Linked DNA regions of Bombyx mori. Each later gene encodes a partner of the first gene's protein in a complex. Links are inferred from orthologs where the notes say so. Each region holds a gene or a part of one and is shown on either strand. Other genes may lie near its edges.

Region 1 (10,344 bases):
ACATTTCATTTAATTTCATCCCAGTTGATTAATGTCTCAAATTAATTATCTTCATTTCATTTCATTCACTCCATATTAACATTTTTCATAAAAATAAGAATTTCAATTAAAATAAGACATGACTTAAAGGTCTTAGTTACCAGGTCATAAAACCCCTTAAAAAACATACATACCTAGCACCTAGCACTTGATTGATAAACCTTGAAATGCAAATAAAAGTTGATTTTAAACTTTAAATTTTAGTAAATAATTAATAATGGCTGATGAAGATGACCCTAAAGAGTATCGATGGGAAACTGGTTATGAAAAAACTTGGTTAGAAAATTTATAGTTGTATTGTTATTATGTTTATTTATTTACGTTTATTTGTTTGTAAATACACAAGGCTAACCTTTCAAAGCGAACTTCCATTTTATTAAAAATCAAATATAGAAACAGTTAACGTTAATGAATCAATTTAAATTATTTTTTTACCTTTTCCTGAAAGACTCGTTAATGTCTTTCATGCATACTATTGAATAGAACATACTATTGTCTGTATTGTTGAATGTGGCTGGAATCTGCAAAATCTTAGCAGTGCAGGACTGGTCGTTTTGGCGGGTCTTAGCTTATATCTAGCAGTCGCCGTCTGCGGGCTGATGATAGATAGATACTGTAATGTGGTAACAGGCAAATGCGATTGCAAAGTAGTCTATTATTATTAAGTTTTTTTTATTGCTTAGATGGGTGGACGAGCTCACAGCCCATCTGATGTTAAGTGGTTACTGGAGCCCATAGATATCGACGTAAATGCGCCAACCACCTTGAGACATAACTTCTAAGATTTCAGGTATAGTTAGGCTGCCCCACCCTTCAAGCCGAAACGCATTACTGCTTCACGGCAGAAATAAGCAGGTTGGTGGTACCTACCCGCGCGGACTCTCAAGAGGTCCTACCACCAGTAATGACAGTTATACAGAGAGCCTATTTTTTATTTTGCTAAACTACAGATAAACTAAATAAAACCTGTTCAGATATTAACAAACACGACGAGCGATCATCTTGGGCCACCATTACAAATTCAATGAGGCCTACACACAGCAAATTACTGGAAATCTTTAACTTTAACCTTATGATTTCACCATATTCTAAAAAATAATGAATATATGTTATAAAAATAAAGTGTAATTACAAGTTTGTTTTTGAAAATTCTTCATAATACTTTAATTTACTCTGATTACTCTTTAGTTTTACAGTTTTTAACATATATGTTATGTGTCTATTGAATCATAAATTAAATATTTATGTGTAGGGAGGCTATTAAAGAAGATGAAGATGGGTTGGTTGAAAGCCTGGTGGCTGAATTTGCCCAGAAAGCAGCACGTAAAGCAGCTGCTCCTCGTAAAGGTCCAGTCAGACTTGGCATGATGAGGCATTTACTTTTAGCCATAGATTGTTCTGAGGCTATGAGCTCCCAAGATTTGAAACCTTCACGGTTTCTGTGCACATTGAAGGTAAAGAAATATCTTTTACCTTCATAAACTGCTAGAGGCTGAGCTGTATGCTATTAAGTAGTTTAAAGTTTATTAGATATACCTGGTGTCTTTGTATTGTAACTACCATTTGAGTAGAAGCATAAAGGTTGGAAGTTGACATCCAGATATCATGGCTAACACTTCATATGCAGTGGCCATTGGCTAACTCTGTAGCTTGATTAATTGTATTCAGTTCATTTCAATAGAGATGAATGTCTCCATTCTTTTTTGCAATACGGACAACTGGAGTAGTTTACTCAGAAAAGTTACAAAGCAGTCCTTCAGTGTTTAACCAATTGATTTTGTTTCTCTGTCATATTTCTATATCTATATAACTATAATTACTTGTATACCATCTATGCCTTTGTTTTGTCAGCTGGCTGATTTTTTTTGCATGCAATTTGTAAATACTATAATAATATTTAACAGTGTTTGAACTTCATCATGGGCATAGTTAATATTCTTCACAGATAGACAGCATAGGCCATGATATAACAGCTCCATGGTCACAAATGTTTGCGAGACGTAGGGTGTACCCCCATTAGTGAGAAGAAATCATGTTCTAATGAAGCTATAAATACAATTTTATTTAATAAGTTTAATCTGTGTATATTTCTAGTTGCTCGAGAAATTTGTTGAAGAGTTTTTTGACCAGAATCCTCTCAGTCAGCTTGGTTTAATAGCAATGAAGAATAAGAGAGCTGAGAAAATAACTGACCTATCTGGAAATGTCCGGAAACACATTAAAGCCATACAAGGGCAAGTATTAAATTATTGTTGTATTTATTAATTTCAATATATTACTTTTATTAACTTGACATTAATAGTTTTATCGAAAAATGATAGAAAAATCAATTAAATATGTCATATAAACAAAAGCTTTTAGTTATTTGAAAAAATAAAACAAAAAGTTCTCTAAACAGTTTATCCAACACTCCGCTGACTGGAGAGCCATCATTACAAAATACGCTAGAGCTGGCTGGGCGAATCCTAAGGCCTCTGCCTGGACACGCGTCAAGAGAATTACTAGTGCTTTTCGCATCCCTTACAACTTGCGATCCAAGTGATATAAACACTACCATAGAAGTAAGACAGTTTTGATTATTGAAATGCCTTATTTTACTTTTGTTGATCACCACAGATTTGTTAAAATAGAAATCCGTAAAGATATTTAACATGGTTCCACGACACTCCATAAAGCTCAGTTTTTGTTTAGCTTTAACAAGTTCTTTGCATTGCTGATGTCCACTGGTGACCTGCGCCATTGACGATCAATTGAGACAGACTTCTCCACTTTATATGGCAAGTAATACTAATAATGTTGTGTTAGCATTTTAAATCCAAAACTTGGTATTTCAATGAAAGTTTTGTTTGTTTCAATAACCTAAAATAAACTATACTGTGAGATAATATTTATTTATTAGATTAGATATTTAATTATTTTTATCTTTTTGTAGACACTAAAAACAGATGGAATTAGATGTTCTGTTATTGGTCTAGCTGCTGAAGTGCGGATTTGCAAAAAAATGTGTCAAGACACTAATGGAGATTATGGTGTAAGCTATTCTCTATTGATAATTTCGCAGTTTCGCTTTTGTATGTAAGCATTGTTATTAAAAAGAGCTTATTTAAGACTGCTTTTATTTTTGAACTAGCCGCTAAGGACTCTTTTTCTGTCCCACTATTTGATATAAAATGTTATAGTTACGGAATTTGTTATTGATGTTGTGATAGAATATGCCTTGTAGAAATTATCACGCAAGAAAAAAAGTCCTCCATGCTACTTTACTCTTTCTCTTTATTTCTTTCTGTGAGACTGCGGTTGTTGTTCTGTGTACGTGCATGTGGAGGTGCGTTTATCGAGATTCCAGTAGAAGAGTATTATGCGAGACCAATTGAATAACCTCAATATTTTATTTACCATTTTTCTAAAATAATTATGTATGTACATAATATAAAAAAAAAATATTTTTTCTTAAAATAATAAATGTATATTTTTGTTAATAAGTATTTATTTATTTTATTTATACTTATTGTACACAAAAGAGAAAATACAATAAAAACAGATTAAAAAGAATGTCTAAATACTATGTACCTACAAAGGCGAGCTTAACTCATTCATGAGTTTTCTTCCAGCAAACCATTAGCAGAGAGAAATACGATGCATAAGAGGGGAAAAGTGTACAATATAAAAGGTATTAAAGCATGACTGTTAAACTCAGGTTTAAAAACAAAAGTACATACATAGTTCTTTTATTTACTTCTTAATTTTTTTTTTGTTAGTAAGCCAATTTGCTAACGATGTACATAATATGTTTTTAGGTGGTATTAGACGATTGTCACTACCAGTCACTGCTACTAGAGTACACGTCGCCGCCGCCCCGCGCCCGCTCGTTGGACGCGGGCCTGGTGAAGATGGGCTTCCCGCATTCAACGCCGCTCGAGGAACAAGCCGACCCAGGGGCTAATGTCGATCCACCTATTACTGTTTGTATGTGGTGAGTTCCGTGTCTTGCTTAAATTTTAAAACTTGAGAAAGAACGAAAGAAACGCTTAGCGTAAATCTAAACTTTCATGAAATGCGTTTGTCTGTAGTGTTATTATTTTTATCGACCACTTTTCTCGGCGGAGCCGGTAATTTCATGGTAGCACGGGCGTAAGCCAAGTGCTAATTGCTTGATGTTAATGTTGGTGTGTTATCGTCAACCTGCATAAACTTCCTCACGATTCGGCAGGTGTTTAAAATAGCGGCTTTTTGGAGGGTTAATTAGAGATTTTGTTTGAGAGTGATTAATTTAAGGCTATGGTGAAGATGGTAAGGAATGAGTGTTATTGTTATTATTATTATGTGTATTAAACACTGCCTCGCCTGGGAAGACGGCAAGACACACCGGCGAGGTGGGCAACAATTGGCCGGAGCGTTAGGGACTATTGGGAGAGAAACCGGCAAACTATCCGGGCATTGTCGAGCAAGACTGCTTTTTGCATTTGGGCCACCACCGACTTTTCGTTGAGACCAAGCCTCTCGAGATGTTTTGAGAGGCTTTTAGGGACTTATTATTACTATTATTATTATTTTTTTTATAGATGTGTGGCTCACAGCCCACCTGGTGTTAAGTGGTTACCGGAGTCCATAGTCATTTACAACGTAAATGCCGCTACCCACCTTGAGATATGAGCTTTAAGGTCTCAGTGTAGTTACAACGGCTGCCCCACCCTTGAAACCGAAACGCATTACTGCTTCACGGCAGAAATAGGCAGCGTGGTGGGACCTACCCGTGCGAACCCACAAGAGGTCCTACCATCAGTAATTACGCAAATTATAATTTTGCGGGTTTGATTTTTATTACACGGTGTTATTCCTTTACGTTTTGAAGTGAAACTTCTAATGCGACTTCCAACAAGTTTGCGTTAAACTTTTAACGCTACCATGGAATAGAAAGAGACAGAGCGAGAGTGAATCCGTGGCACTCGAACGCTTGCGCGTTGTATACCTGCTACAGCCAGGGCGTTACCAACGAGTAGCGTCCAATATTTTAATGAAGTATTTAAAAAAAATACCTATATACGTATATCCTTACCTATATATGTAATGATGAAGATGTCGCATCTCTTATACACAGCATTCCTTATTACAAGAGCAATCTGATTTAAGGATGAGAAATGAAAAAAAAACACAATATTACTCATGGAATAAGAAGCTTCACTTCATTCACGTGCACCAAGTTGCACGCGCATCGTTTTTATTTTTTTTAAACTCTTATTTTTGTTCAGTCATTTGGAGGAAGGCGAAGGTATAGGCGGCGAGGGTCACCTGTGTCCGCAGTGCCGCTCCAAGTATTGTTCGTTGCCAGCTCAGTGTCGCACCTGCGGCCTGACACTCGCATCAGCACCACATCTTGCAAGGTACATCTGTCAAACGACCCCTTTCTTCAAACGATATTTGTTTTACGAGATAAAGTCTTATATTGCTGTAGATGAGCACAGAAGATCATGGGCCTGCCCGGTCACCGGTAAATTAACCTTCAGACACAGCCCACTGAGTTTCTCGCCGGATCTTCTCAGTGGGTCGCGTTTCCGATCCGGTGGTAGATTATGCGAATCACTGTTATTGCTAAGGCCAGTGTTAGCAATACTTCCGGTTTGAGCTCCGTGATCTCACCTACACGTCAGGGTGAAGCTGAAATAGTCTCTCAAGGCCTTCAGCATACGTAGAAAAAAAAGGCCCTAAAATAAATGGTTGACCTATAGTTTCTCCCCCTATATTTCCCTTACCGGGTGGTTTGAACACCGATATACTGACCGGAGGACATCCAAGTATATTCTAGTTTTGAATTTGAAAATGCTCTGCAGCAGATTTACATAGTAAACTTATAATTTTTTGCAGGTTTAATTTTATTCGTGTTTGTAATTGTAAATCGATTTTCATAATTTCTAATCTTATTGTAGATCATACCATCACCTGTTTCCAGTGGAACCTTATGAAGAATTAGATAATGATGGCCAGGCGCAGTATTGTTTTGGATGCTTAAGAACCTTCACCGATATAGACAAGAAGGTATGTTACATGTCTCACATTTTTTATCTGCCTTTCCTGTAAATAGTCTACATGTTTCGTTTTAACGTAATTGTATTAATATTTCTAAAATAAAATTTTCATACCGAGCATTCATTAACGACGAAAACTTGCGTGTGTGTGTGTAGAAGTTATTCTAAGAGCAATAGAGTCGATTTTTGAATATATAAATTTTTGTTTGTAGATACATCGTTGTCCCCGATGTAAAGAGTACTACTGCTGGGAGTGCGAGGGCGCGGTGACGGCCACGCTGCACGTGTGTCCTGGCTGCGCCACCAGACCTCATTTGTACCAGCGGCTACCAAGCACGACCTCATCGTAATAAATGAATTAATAAATGAATAAATGAATGAACACTTGTTGTATTATTTTTCGTGCAATTATATAATAACCATCGCAAAGGGACTTTTTTGAAGTGAAACTTCTTTAGGCGCGTTGAGAGTAAAATTTAACTCGCGACAGATTCGTTACGCTTAGAGAGAAAAGATACAATTTAGGACGAGTGAGACTGAGAAAATAGAGAAACCGTCTCGCGAACCACTCGACCCTGGAGAGGGAAATGACAAAGCGAGCTAGGTCGTTTCTCTTATACACAGCATTCTCTTATACAAGAGAAATTTGATTTAAGGATGAAAAATGAAGAACAATAGTACGCAGAAGTTTCACTTCTTTCACATCGCACCTTTTTTTTTTGCGATTGATTACGTGTATTGTGCGGAAATATGTAATCGCATATCGGGAGGAGATCGCGTTGGTCAAATTAATATCAACTCATTCACCGGTGCGTCGTTCAGTCGGCGTTTGTTTCGCATGAAACGAGCTCAATAAACGCTAACAATTGAATATTATTTGGTAAGAAAAATAGAGGAAAGTGGTGGAAGACTAAGGAGACAAGTGTCAACGTTCGTTCCCTTCGCCTTAGAATAATTCATATTAAACTAATATTACATGGATATATTACCACATATTATTACCATGTGGTAATATATCGATGTAATATTATGAACGTCAAAGTGTCGTTTCACGTCCAAACGAAGCAACGGATTGTCATAAAAGGATAGTTTTAGATCAGCAGTGCCAATTTTTATCCTGAAAATATATGTCATTCCCACGGGAAACTGTTTTATTATCTTTAGAAAAATGACGTGAGACTAGAAAAAAAAAACGCTTTTCCTTGACATCGCGAAGCTGCGAGTAAAACTTGTGATCTTTATTTATTTAGGTACTACTGGAGCCTATAGACATCTACAACGTAAATGCGCCACCCACTTTGAAATATAAGTTCTAAGATCTCAGTATAGTTACAACGGCTGCCCCACCCTTCAAACCGAAACGCATTACTGCTTTACGGCAGAAATAGGCAGGGTGGTGGTACCTACCCGCGCGGACACACAAGAGGTCCTACCACCAGTAAATTGTTGCGATATTTGTTTGTATTAGCAATGGTCTTTACATTTCGCCATGTTGTCCAAAATTTGAACTATGTTCAGTAGAAGTCCGAGCTGATCTATTTTTGTAGCGCTCGATGTATATGGCACAACTGATAGCGTGTAGCTTATTTCCGCTCGTGGACATCGGCAGTATAAGAGGCTCAGTCATTCCGCTATCTACCTCTGCATATGTCTTAATCTACGTTACACCTCTTGTGCCGGCGCATCCATAATTCCCGGAAAACTAACTAATCTCTCACTACTATACTTGCCATAGAATACATGTGCCAAGACAATATGGGAGCTTCTTGTCTCCTAGTATTTCCGCGCTGAGCAGGCCTAACAGACTAAATGAGAGATTTCAAATTTTTATAATAATTTAACGCCAACATCAGTCAGAGCTGGCCGCGACAAAGAGCCAACAGTAAGGGGCACTGACGCAAAATAATAGTACCATTTTACGATAAGTTTTACGTCGCTAGATTTAAGTGGGTTGATATCATACTTGAGTCCTTAACCTTTGATTGATAAGATAACTAAACATTAGTTCATATTGAATGTTATCGTAGACATAAACACGGATAGTAATTTTATTGTGATATGTATTTAAATTTGACATCATGTATCTGTTGTTGAGAATTTCTATAAATAGTACTATAAATAGTATTTTTACTGGTGGTAGGACCTCTTGTGAGTCCGCACGGGTAGGTACCACCTCCCTGTCTATTTCAGCCGTGAAGCAGTAATGCGTTTCGGTTTGAAGGGTGGGGCAGCCGTTGTAACTACATTGAGACCTTAGAACTTATCTCAAGGTGCGTGGCGCATTTACGTTGTAGATGTCTATGGGTTCCAGTAACCACTTATCACCAGGTGGGCTGTGAGCTCGACCATTCACCTAAGCAACAAAAAAAATATTGAAAATTATATAAATCAAAATTTGATGGAGGTAAATTTCTCGTAAGTTGTGAAAATAAAAAATATGCATGGTAAATTTAATACTTTTATTCAAATCTTTGTAACATTCGAATAACTTGTGTCATAGAAGATTCATTGTCAATAATACTACTTACAGTATAAAGTTGTGCTTCGGTACATAATACAGTAGGACAACGTTACTGATTTAATCACAGATACACGTCTTTAAATGCCTTTACATACAAAATTATATATTTTACTATATTTTTGGTGTTACACACGTACCTATAAGTTTAGCAACATATTTTTTTCCATTCATATGTAAAATCGTAGAGATATCACAAAATATATAGTTAATATATCATGGACATAATATATAATGATGTAAGATCATAATCTTATTTCTATGAATTTAAACGTTTTATGTTCCATCATTTATGTGCGTTATGCAATATAAGTTTCGCTGATAAGTTATCTCAAGCTTTAGATGCAAATGTATATATCAACACACAAATATCTAAAAATGTATACTTTGCTATTCCCAAATAATGTTGTAGGTATTTCTTTGCCACAGATTTGCTGATAAGCTCTCTTATCTAGTGTAAGTTTTTACTGGAACTTCAAATGTTGTTTGTCAACTTATTTTTAGGTCAAATAGGGTGATAAGGTCACGCCTTTTATAAAGCGCATAGAGATCATAATCTGAATTCCGTTGTTCACCTTCAGACTAGAGACACAAGGTCGAAGTCGTTATTGCATAGGATTAATTTAACAATTCCTTTGCAGAAATAGGACTGTGGTTCTGGCCCTTGTGGCCTTTCAACATGCCCTACAATTGAAAATTACGCAAATCAGCTTGCGGTTTTAATTTCCCTAAACCATGTATTTCGTAATACACTCGATATATATTTACGTCAAAATATTAATTAATTTAATTAACAAGGCACATTATAGGATTTAACATCGTCTTTTCGCATTAAAAGTGCACTACACATTTCCAAAAATATTCGAAATTGAATTAATATGCGGAATCATTTGGTATCACCAGTATTTTTCTCATAAAAACTGTCAATAGAACGTAGTTTAGTTTTAGTTTTTTTTAGTTTACCTATGTTTTGACTACTATTCAAAAAATTAATGTATAATTTTATCTTACTTTAAAAGACAGATAATGTAACTGGTAAAAAATAAAAAATAAATGTTACAAAGATGATTAATATTAAAAATATCACATTTTAAACCTTTTAAACACTCTCCTCTAAAATTAGTAAGTTTTGAGATTATTATACAGTTTTAATGCGAGAAGACCATATAATATTCTTTAAGGTCACGGCGGCAAATAAACATATGCCACGATTTATATATTTATGTAAGTTAATGACATATCACTGCGGTTATGTTTATCACAACAAATATATATTTTTAAGTACCTACAATAATATGTCAAGTAACATATGTCAATCACAGTTTATTTAACTAATAAACAATGGCTCAAACGTTTTGACTACCGGTTGTTTTTTTACGAGACAGCCACAATATATTCGGCTTTTGATAATACTGTTCTATTTGTAAAAGAGATTTCCCTTTCGTCTCTGGTAATAAAAGGAAAAGTAGAATTGTGGCAAGAGCAGCGGAAATACCGAAGAAACTAAAGACAGCCGCTATTCCTATATTCTTCATCATCGCAGGGTAAAGTTTGGTAAAACCAAAAAGGAATGAATTAAAGAAACAGAAAATATAGCCTCCGCAGAGCCCACGGACTTTGGTGGGCAGTAATTCGCCTATCATAAGCCCCGGCAGTACAAAGAATCCTAAGGTATTGAAGCCAACGTATGCGAGGATCAGGACTGGCGGCGCGATGCCTGTACCGGGGCCTTGCGCGAGTAGGGCGGCCAACGCCAGAGTACAG
Region 2 (10,344 bases), on another chromosome or scaffold:
CGGTGTGATAGCTCCCTGCCGGAAATCTGCTTCACACAGTGTGCAGTCAGGCGGGAGCTCAGACTCCTGGACGTCCATAAATCGAGTGGGCCAGACGGCATCCCCGCAGTGGTTTTGAAAACGTGCGCCCCTGAGCTGACACCTGCGCTAACGCGTTTGTATCGCCTCTCTTATTGCACTAACAGGGTTCCGTCTTCATGGAAGACCGCCCACGTCCACCCTATCCCCAAGAAGGGTGACCGGTCGGACCCATCGAGCTACAGGCCTATCGCGATAACTTCCTTGCTTTCCAAGGTGATGGAGCGAATTATAAATACACAACTCCTGAAGTATCTTGAAGATCGCCAGCTGATCAGTGACCGACAGTACGGTTTCCGTCACGGTCGCTCAGCTGGCGATCTTCTTGTATACCTTACTCACAGGTGGGCTGAAGCCTTGGAGAGCAAGGGCGAGGCTCTTGCTGTGAGCCTTGATATCGCGAAGGCCTTCGACAGGGTCTGGCATAGGGCACTTCTATCGAAGTTACCATCTTACGGAATCCCCGAGGGTCTCTGCAAGTGGATCGCTAGCTTTTTGGATGGGCGGAGCATCACGGTCGTTGTAGACGGTGACTGTTCTGATACCATGACCATTAACGCTGGCGTTCCACAAGGTTCGGTGCTCTCCCCCACGCTTTTCATCCTGTATATCAATGACATGCTGTCTATTGATGGCATGCATTGCTATGCAGATGATAGCACGGGGGATGCGCGATATATCGGCCATCAGAGTCTCTCTCGGAGCGTGGTGCAAGAGAGACGATCAAAACTTGTGTCTGAAGTGGAGAACTCTCTGGGGCGAGTCTCCAAATGGGGTGAATCGAACTTAGTTCAATTCAACCCGTTGAAGACACAGGTTTGCGCGTTCACTGCGAAGAAGGACCCCTTTGTCATGGCGCCGCAATTCCAAGGAGTATCCCTGCAACCTTCCGAGAGTATCGGGATACTTGGGGTCGACATTTCGAGCGATGTCCAGTTTCGGAGTCATTTGGAAGGCAAAGCCAAGTTGGCGTCCAAAATGCTGGGAGTCCTCAACAGAGCGAAGCGGTACTTCACGCCTGGACAAAGACTTTTGCTTTATAAAGCACAAGTCCGGCCTCGCGTGGAGTACTGCTCCCATCTCTGGGCCGGGGCTCCCAAATACCAGCTTCTTCCATTTGACTCCATACAGAGGAGGGCCGTTCGGATTGTTGATAATCCCATTCTCTCGGATCGTTTGGAGCCTCTGGGTCTGCGGAGGGACTTCGGTTCCCTCTGTATTTTGTACCGTATGTTCCATGGGGAGTGCTCTGAGGAATTGTTCGAGATGATACCAGCATCTCGTTTTTACCATCGCACCGCCCGCCACCGGAGTAGAGTTCATCCATACTACCTGGAGCCACTGCGGTCATCCACAGTGCGTTTCCAGAGATCTTTTTTGCCACGTACCATCCGGCTATGGAATGAGCTCCCCTCCACGGTGTTTCCCGAGCGCTATGACATGTCCTTCTTCAAACGAGGCTTATGGAGAGTATTAAGCGGTAGGCAGCGGCTTGGCTCTGCCCCTGGCATTGCTGAAGTCCATGGGCGACGGTAACCACTCACCATCAGGTGGGCCGCATGCCCGTCTGCCTACAAAGGCAATAAAAAAAAAAAAAAAAAAAAAAAAAAAAAAAAAAAAAAAAAAAAAAAAAAAAAAAAAAAAAAAAAAAAAAAAATTAAAGTTTAGGTCTTTTGTTTATCGATTGAGGCACTACGAACTCTGCCGGGTCAGCTAGTATTATTATATGTATTGTATGTAACCAAATTGTAAGATAGGTACTGTAAAATAACACATAAAAACAAAAAATGTTTATGAATTAGAAATAATTACTCTTATATAAATTAATTACAATATTATTATAACAAACTCAAATTAAAACAATAAGATTGTTTATTTATTGTATATCCGCGAATAGTGAAAACGAGAATGAAGGAAGCGCGAATAAGCAGTACTTACTGTATATTCAATAACAAGTATATAAACTGAACAGTGCCCATACTTTTCATACCATGCAAACTGCGGACAAGCTTCTCCCTCCGCTCTTTCGATCTCTTAAGAGTAAGAATAAAATTATTGTACCGACATCAACCATAGGTCGCCCGAGATAAATAAACCACTGCAAGCATCAGTGGATTAATTCAAACCAATTAGGTTTTTTTTTTATTGCTTAGATGGGTGGACGAGCTCACAGCCCACCTGGTGTCAAGTGGTTACTGGAGCCCATAGACATCCACAACGTAAATGCGCCACCCACCTTGAGATATAAGTTCTAAGGTCTCAAGTATAGTTACAACGGCTGCCCCACCCTTCAAACCGAAACGCATTACTGCTTCACGGCAGAAATAGGCAGGGTGGTGGTACTCACCCGCGCGGACTCACAAGAGGTCCTACCACTCGTAAAAATACCACCAAAAAAATATAGGTACCAAAATACAAGCCAATTTGTACGTATTAATTTTTATAATTCGATAGTACCTATATATTATTATGATTAATCTATTAATACGTGAAGCAACAACTTTGTACCCCTTTTTACGAAAATGGCACGGATGGAGGAGTATGAAATTTCCCACATAGAGAATATAGAGGAGTGCAGTGTTAATATTTTTTTTAAAATATGCATAAAAATAGATACATTAAATCAAGAAAAAAAAGACATTACACACACTAACATATTTGATACTTCACATACGCATGCATACTATTTGTTTATTGTCAAACTTTTCAGTCTGTGTGCTTAGGGCGAGTTTTTTATCCTTCTCGATACATAGCGTAAAAGTTAACCCAATTTTGTATGCAGTTGGAATGGCGCCCCTAGCGGCAAACGTAGGCAAACGAACCTATCTTAATTATTTTCTTATACCTTCGGTTCGGTTCGATTTCGATTTCGGGGGCGATAAATCGATCTAACTACGATTTATTTTCAGAAAATGCTGTTTTATTCGTGTTTTCAATAATCAACTCTTCCCGACATCTATTGGCGAATAATAATACTATTTTTCTTAATTGAGGGCAACTAACCGCCTTAAAGACAAAACAAGATGGAGTTATCAAAAAAAAAAAAAACGAGCAAAGCTCGGTCATCATCTAGTTCCATACAAATTTGAGCTAGCTATCGAGAACGTTAAAAAACTCGCACTAAGCACACTGTGCTCAAATTGTGAATAGAGCAATATTGTTTGTCTTGAATATAGTCTGGGCGAACTATGTGAATAAAGAAGTTTATTAGTGTACAAACTTAACATTTCAATTAATTATAGTCGAATTTCGACTACCGGGGGACCACTAGTATATACATATAAATAGTCGACTATAGGTGTAAGATTAAGTAAATAATCTGGTGCTACTCATAGTTGTAAATTAATTTAACGTATGTACAACGTATGAATTTGTATTTTTTTAATAAAAATTGTTCTAACAGATTTGTTTTTTGTTTTTATCAGAAATTATTATTTATTATACTTATGTCCTGGGAAAAACTGAAGATTTGAAATTATTAAAATGGAAACAATATATTATAAAATATATAAAAAACCAAATTAAACGCAAACTCGTGGTTTATCAACCTTTAAATATTTATGAGAACGCTTACACGGAGAAAGAGAAATGGTGCTAATTCGCTGGACAATACTTTTCTGTTTTTTTCTTTTTTTCTCCGGCATTTGTTTTTTTAATCCATAGGTGGTTGAACGACATCATAGAGCTACTTGTTTAATTGGTTACCGGAATCTAGGTGGACAAAGTGGTGGACATAAACGACATCTGAATGTGGGGATCGACAAAGTCTAAAAATCAACCCCTATCAATCACTGCAAGTTCTTATTTGAAACTTTAAAAAATACAGCATAAGTTATTACGTGATTTTGTTCTATTCACTAATAACTTAAGGAGCTACCTCTTCAAGTGACGCACGAATGGGTAGGCACATGGCTTCAATCTGAGAGAATTTGCTAACACTAGTCTTAGCAAGTGTAATGCTTCGCAGAATCTACCACCGATTGAAATCGCGACACACTAAGAAGATCCGGCGAGAAACTCAGTGGGTTGTGTCTATGGGTTAGTTCGCTCAGCGAACTCTTCATTTTAATCGACGAGTTAAACGAGGACTGGGAACGGTGCTTAAAGAGCCTAACAGCACCAAGAGTGGATCCGGTGGATCTCATTCAATTCCGCTCGCAACGCCATCAAGTACGGACGTGCTGTTTCGAAAAATTGTCGCTGTCATTGCGACCTTATTTTTCTCAAAACGTTGTCGCTGTAGTCGCGACCTTGAGTCGAAAACGCACAATTCGTGTTTGATTTGTTTTTGCGAACGAAAACTTCACTAGCTGTCTTTCTCAAGACAAAAAGCTCACTACGATCTGCTTGTTGTGGCGTGTCACAACTTCCCGGACTACATCCCAATTCCTACGCAATGTCGTTATTGAAGTGAAACTTCCTTATCGGCGTTGGAAAAAAATTTACCGTCACATTTTTCGGTTACGCGTCACTTTTTTCCGTTACGCGCCATCTGTTTTGTATTCATGTCTATGATAATAAAATCCTTTTGTTTAAACTTTATCTAATTTAACTTTTTTGTATTCATGTCTATGATAATAAAATCCTTTTGTTTAAACTTTATCTAATTTAACTTTATTTAACCAATTTCTAGAAAGTTGCATGTAGATCATTTTTCGAAAAATAAGGCCATAAACAAGTTTCACTTCTTACGTGTGTACACTAGTACACGCACACATTTTTTTCATTTAATTTCATCCCAGTTGATTAATGTCTTAAATTAATCATCTTCATTTCACTCCATATTATAATTTTTCATCAAATGAGTCGTCTATTATCAAAGGTGGCAATCTGTGCATTTGGACAAAAAAATGTTATTGATATGTCAATACAGATTGAGTTGAATATAATCGTCTCCTTCAAAGAATACGGTTCAAAACCTGCATTAAATAAAGGTTAATAGTTAACCTGTTATTTATCTAAGATGTCGTTCCGAAGAGTTTTGTGACTGCCAATGGAATACAAAGTCAATAATTCGTTTTTCTGATTTACCAATAATTGTCCAAAAGTCAGATTGCCGGCTTTGATAATAGTCGACTCAAATAAGCATTTATATTAAAATAAGACATGACTTAAAGGTCTTAGTTACCAGGTCATAAAATCCCTTAAAAAAAAAGCTTACACTTACGCCTTAAAGGCTTATTACACTTGGCTAAATTTAGTCGACTGAATTCAAAAGCAAATTTAGAAGCAAGTTGGAAGCTTCTGATTACACTGTTCTTAACTTCAGTTACTGAATCAATTGTCAGTATAAACGCGACGAAGTAGGACGTGTCGTGTGTGTGTGAATGGCCCCAGTATTATCTAAACAACAAAAAATTGGTCTAGGCGCAGACCTCGCTGTCGGCTCAATTGAAAAAAAAAAAAAATGAAGAGTATGGGCGAAGAAATATATATTGCTGCGCGGAAAGTTAGCAAATATGAACATTATGAGTGATTTATCTATCCGATGATATGTAGGAGAAGTAAAATGTCCCTTAGAAATAAGGTGACACTCTACAAAACTTGCATACGCCCCGTCATGACCTATGCAAGTGTAGTGTTCGCTCACGCGGCCCGCATACACTTGAAATCATTCCAAGTCATTCAATCCCGTTTTTGCAGGATAGCCGTCGGAGCCCCGTGGTTCGTCAGGAACGTCGACCTCCATGACGACCTGGACTTCGAGTCCACCAGTAAGTATATGCAGTCGGCGTCAATGCGCCACTTCGATAAAGCGGCACGACACGAGAACCCTCTCATCGTGGCCGCCGGTAACTACATTCCCGATCCTGCGGACAGAATGGAAAGCAGTCGACGTCGCCCAAAACACGTCATCTCGGATCCTCCCGATCCACTAACGGTGCTTTTAGGTACTTCAAGCACCGGTCACCGTTCTCGTCGAACCCGTCGCTTGCGACGAAGGGCTCGACGAGTAAATTAACTCTTAGACACAGCCCACTGAGTTTCTCGCCGGATCTTCTCAGTGGGTCGCGTTTCCGATCCGGTGGTAGATTCTGCGAAGCACGGCTCTTGCTAGGGTTCGTGTTAGCAACATCGTCAGGTTTGAGCCCCGTGAGCTCACCTACAAAAGTTAGGGTTACGCTGATATAGCCTCTCAAGGCTCTCAGCTTAGGCAGGAAAAAAAAAAAAAAAAAAAAAAAAAAAAAAGAATGATTTAGAACCAGCAGACTTCAGAAATGATCTACGAATGGATTCGAGGTCGTTTGACCAAATATTAAGCCTTGTGGCACAATTTTTTTCAAAAGCAGGATACTATCCTACGATACTACTATAGTCTATTATATATCTATATTATATAACTATTACATATCTAATCCTACGATAGTATAAGTCCAAAAGAAAGATTGGTTGTAACATTAAGATTTCTTGCAACAGGAAATTCGTATCAAGATTTAATTTTTAGTTCTTTATAATATCCCAACCCCTTCTGACAAAAATTATCCCTGAAACAAGTTGGGCTATTTATAAATGTTTGGCACATTTAATAAAGGTGAGCGAAATAAATACTTTTTATTCGGAAGTAAAAAACAAACTAAGCCGTCCTTACGCACGGAGAGCTATGGGACGACTGAAATCATTAAGTAACTAAATGCGATTACACCTTCTTATATGCGTTTCTAATTAGGCTTCTAAATGATTTAGTCAGTCAGAAACCATCCTTGCTACTGAATTTAGCAGGTTAACTTACTGAATGCTATTACACCGACTAAATTTAGCAAAGTGTAATGAGCCTTCCACACTTACCCATAAATAATAGATATTAAGTGTATAGTCTATGAATAATAGTTTATAATAGTAATAGTATTCTGTATAACCTATGGTATCTACTGAAAGTAGGGAGTAAATAGGTACCTACATACTTTATTTACAATTAATTATTACATAAAGTGACAAGTTCTAAAACAATGAACCATGGTGAATGTAATGAAAGGTGTCCTCGTTGAATGGTATTTATTATTTTTATTTCTCACAAATATTACTTTTACATATGCAAACTTACAGATAAAGTTAGAATCGTTACAATGTGCTTTAATGATTTGAATTTTAAATTACATCAGTTAATCAATTTACTACGTACAATATATTAACTTGCCAAAGAATTTCTTCTTTGGTTTTTCCCATACTTAAATTTAATGTTCTGGGCCTAGGTTATGAGGAATGCCTTGTATATAAAACTTCATTCAATGTAATCCATATCTTTAGGTATGTTAAAATTTTCTTCTAGTGCATCAATATCTATTTGAAAACTATTTTTTATATAAGATTTCAATATATATACATTTTCTGTCCATCTGTTGCTGGCTGTTTTCAATTCCTACAAAATGAAACATTTTTAATCCAATATTATTATTTGATAATATTATAGTTATGTCTTTGGTTATACATACTACCACCTACAGAAAGCTATTTATCAAAACATAGTATTTTTTTAAATGTACTTTGTTTTCCTTATTTTTAAATAATGAATACAATGCTTAATTAATATACTGATAAGTTATATTGAGTAATATTACCCACCAAATAATAAAATATATATTTTCTAGCATGAAATAGACATGTTAGACTTAAAAGTCATTACCAGTTGTAAGCTCATACAGTTTTGTCATTCTGCCTACATCTGCCAAAAAAAATATACACATTCCAGTTTGATCAGTTCACTTGGCCTTTATGAAATATAATAGTAACTGATCTAATGTGTGCAATATTAAAGTGGGTAGCAGAAGTCACATTGTGATACCTATCAACTTCAGTAACTTACTTAACACTTCAGAAACACTAAATACTATACTACTATAGAAAGGCCATGAACTGATTCATCAATTACTAAATCCTTAAACTTGGGACATTGGCCTTATCTATTGCGCTCACAGTGGGGCGCTAATATGAGCTTGAATGGAATATAGACCTTAAGACATCATCTCATCTACATTAATATAAGAATTGGATTTACAGTTATTTCACGTCTCAGTTGTGCAATATATTCAGGATCAGATTCTCTGTATTTTTGTAATTCTCTCTTATATGAAGCCTCTTGCTTTTGAAGATCTTCTAAAGATGATAATATTTTTATTCTTTCTTCAGATATCTCTCTGCCTTTCTAATATTAAAGTCAATTAATAAATATATCAGTCTCTGATAAATATAGAATAGAATTAAGTTTCATTATAACTCTATAGACTATACTATACTAAGTAAAAAACTATAAATATTCTGACCGATTCTGCTATAAGGACTTCCTCAGTTTTCTTTAACTTCTTCGTACATTCATCAAATTCATTCTGGAGTTCTTGTAGCTTCCTCTTCTTGGTACTTTTTGCTTTGCTACAAGTAATTTATTTAATGTTTGCATGGCATTACCACAGCTTGCTTGATTTGAAAAATAATTTTGCAGTCATAAATTTTTAAAAAGCACAATTGTTTACTCTTAATTTCTCATAGCATCAGTGTGTAAAGTCCATGTAAATTTTATTATTCAAAATAATAAAACTAGTCTTAGTCAATGACTGACTCGGTGGTGCAAAAGTTGGCACCCCTGACTGCCGAAAGTTGTGGATTCGATTCCCATATTGGGCAAAAATTTATTCATTCAGCTTTACTGCTTACATGAGTCCACCTGGTTTTACATGGTAACCGAAGCCCATAGACATTACAACATAAATGCTGCCACCTGCCTTGAGACAAGATTTCTAAGGTCTCAGTTGTAACAGCATGATGACCTAACACCCTTCAAACCGAAATAAATAACTGCTTAATGGCAGAAATAGGCCAGATTTGACGCCAGATGATAATGTACTGTTCTGTTCCCAGTTATTTAGTTAGTTGTTTAACATAGTACCTTGGGAAAGACCAAAAGTACACTGAAGTCCCAATTTTTTCAGAATCAACCAGGTGATCATCAATTAGACTCTGAATCACTTCTTTAACTGATTGCATTGTAATACCCTTTTCTTTTGGTGCTATTTTTTCTAGTTCCTGTAAAAGTTAAAATATAAAATATTATCTTAATAGATTTTGTTATGGCCACTTCTGTTTTATGTGCTGTCTAAACATTTTCTTTTGAACTAATTATTGACTATTTGGTGACTCAACTAACATGATCACCAACAAATAAGAAATTGGACTCCTACCAAGTAAGTCAAATGATGAGTAAACATTCGTGAAAACTTCATTTATTATTACTTTGCTCTCAATTAATTAAAAAACGACCTTGCATTGCTAGTAAGTAAGAAACTCCAGACACTATTTCACACTGTCTCATTTATCCTAAATAAGAGATATATTTTATTGCTTAGTTGAGTGGAAGAGCTTAATACCCACCCCTGGTGTATGTGATTAGGTTACTGGAGTCAACAGACATCACAATGTATGTGCCACCCATCAGTATTATCAGATTTCATTAATTATTTATTGTGAAAGTCATTTATAAACATGTTTAATTACAAAGTTCATTACTAAAATTGGCACCTAACCGCTGGGTTTAAACATTGCTATAATAATACTGTTTAATATGAGTACATCTGGCATCTTATCGTTTAGGGCAGAGTGACATCGAAAGCTATGTATGAAGTTGTAATTTAATGAGGTTACCTTTAATTGAAAAAAATCTTGACTTTGATGGAATATTTCAAGCATTCTGGTCTTCTTTTCATCAGCACTAAGACCTCGTTTCTTGGACATTTTCAGTGATCCGGCAATGAAACAATTCTTACTACACTTGGATGAAACTCTTGCACTTGGTAGAAAGTTTATTCTTCAAGACCTGGATGAAACACACTTGTTCATATCAGCTGATATTGTGGAGACTCTACAAGCTCGCGTTGACGATTTAATGGACCAGCTCAGCATACCCGTGCACGATAAAGGATTATAAATTACGAGGTAAATATTCAAACATATTTGTATAATATATGGTGATAGAGATCCGCATTTGTGCGCGAATCGCGAAATTTTACTTCATCATCATCATCATCATCAGCCTTTATCTGCCCACTGCTGGACATAGGCCTTCCCCAATGCCTTCCACATAATGCTTTTTTTTATTAATATTATTAGGTTTATGTATGATTCGATTTTCAATTTTTATAGTTTTACTTCTTATTTAACCTATTTATCCTTATAGTCTTATTTGTAAATAAAAAATATTTATATTAAATAATATTTAAAAAAAGACTAAACAACACGCTTTTATAGAAAATTCAACAAAAAAAAAATTAAAATAAATTA

What was found.
Region 2: general transcription factor IIH subunit 2 (region 1) and general transcription factor IIH subunit 5 share a complex: the UniProt entries of both Caenorhabditis elegans proteins name them as parts of the 7-subunit TFIIH core complex. The link is inferred for Bombyx mori from reciprocal best matches to the Caenorhabditis elegans genes gtf-2H2C and gtf-2H5.

The regions. Positions count from the first base shown.
Region 1 is NC_085114.1:7,020,170-7,030,513, reverse strand, and holds the end of general transcription factor IIH subunit 2, read left to right. Parts: 5' UTR 1-256; coding exon 257-315; intron 316-1,291; coding exon 1,292-1,493; intron 1,494-2,133; coding exon 2,134-2,273; intron 2,274-2,437; coding exon 2,438-2,600; intron 2,601-2,971; coding exon 2,972-3,070; intron 3,071-3,836; coding exon 3,837-4,012; intron 4,013-5,288; coding exon 5,289-5,420; intron 5,421-5,963; coding exon 5,964-6,072; intron 6,073-6,274; coding exon 6,275-6,412; 3' UTR 6,413-6,444; downstream 6,445-10,344. Other genes in the region: facilitated trehalose transporter Tret1, read right to left, coding at 9,927-10,344. UniProt on the Caenorhabditis elegans protein: Component of the general transcription and DNA repair factor IIH (TFIIH) core complex, which is involved in general and transcription-coupled nucleotide excision repair (NER) of damaged DNA and, when complexed to CAK, in RNA transcription by RNA polymerase II.
Region 2 is NC_085109.1:11,973,958-11,984,301, forward strand, and holds the start of general transcription factor IIH subunit 5, read left to right. Parts: upstream 1-6,905; 5' UTR 6,906-7,032; coding exon 7,033-7,067; exon of another isoform or gene 7,068-7,297; coding exon of another isoform or gene 7,298-7,435; intron 7,436-8,071; coding exon of another isoform or gene 8,072-8,218; intron 8,219-8,336; coding exon of another isoform or gene 8,337-8,442; intron 8,443-8,956; coding exon of another isoform or gene 8,957-9,093; intron 9,094-9,708; coding exon of another isoform or gene 9,709-9,798; exon of another isoform or gene 9,799-9,804; coding exon 9,805-9,991; 3' UTR 9,992-9,999; intron 10,000-10,344. Other genes in the region: meiotic nuclear division protein 1 homolog, read right to left, coding at 7,298-7,435, 8,072-8,218, 8,337-8,442, 8,957-9,093, 9,709-9,798. UniProt on the Caenorhabditis elegans protein: Component of the general transcription and DNA repair factor IIH (TFIIH) core complex, which is involved in general and transcription-coupled nucleotide excision repair (NER) of damaged DNA and in RNA transcription by RNA polymerase II.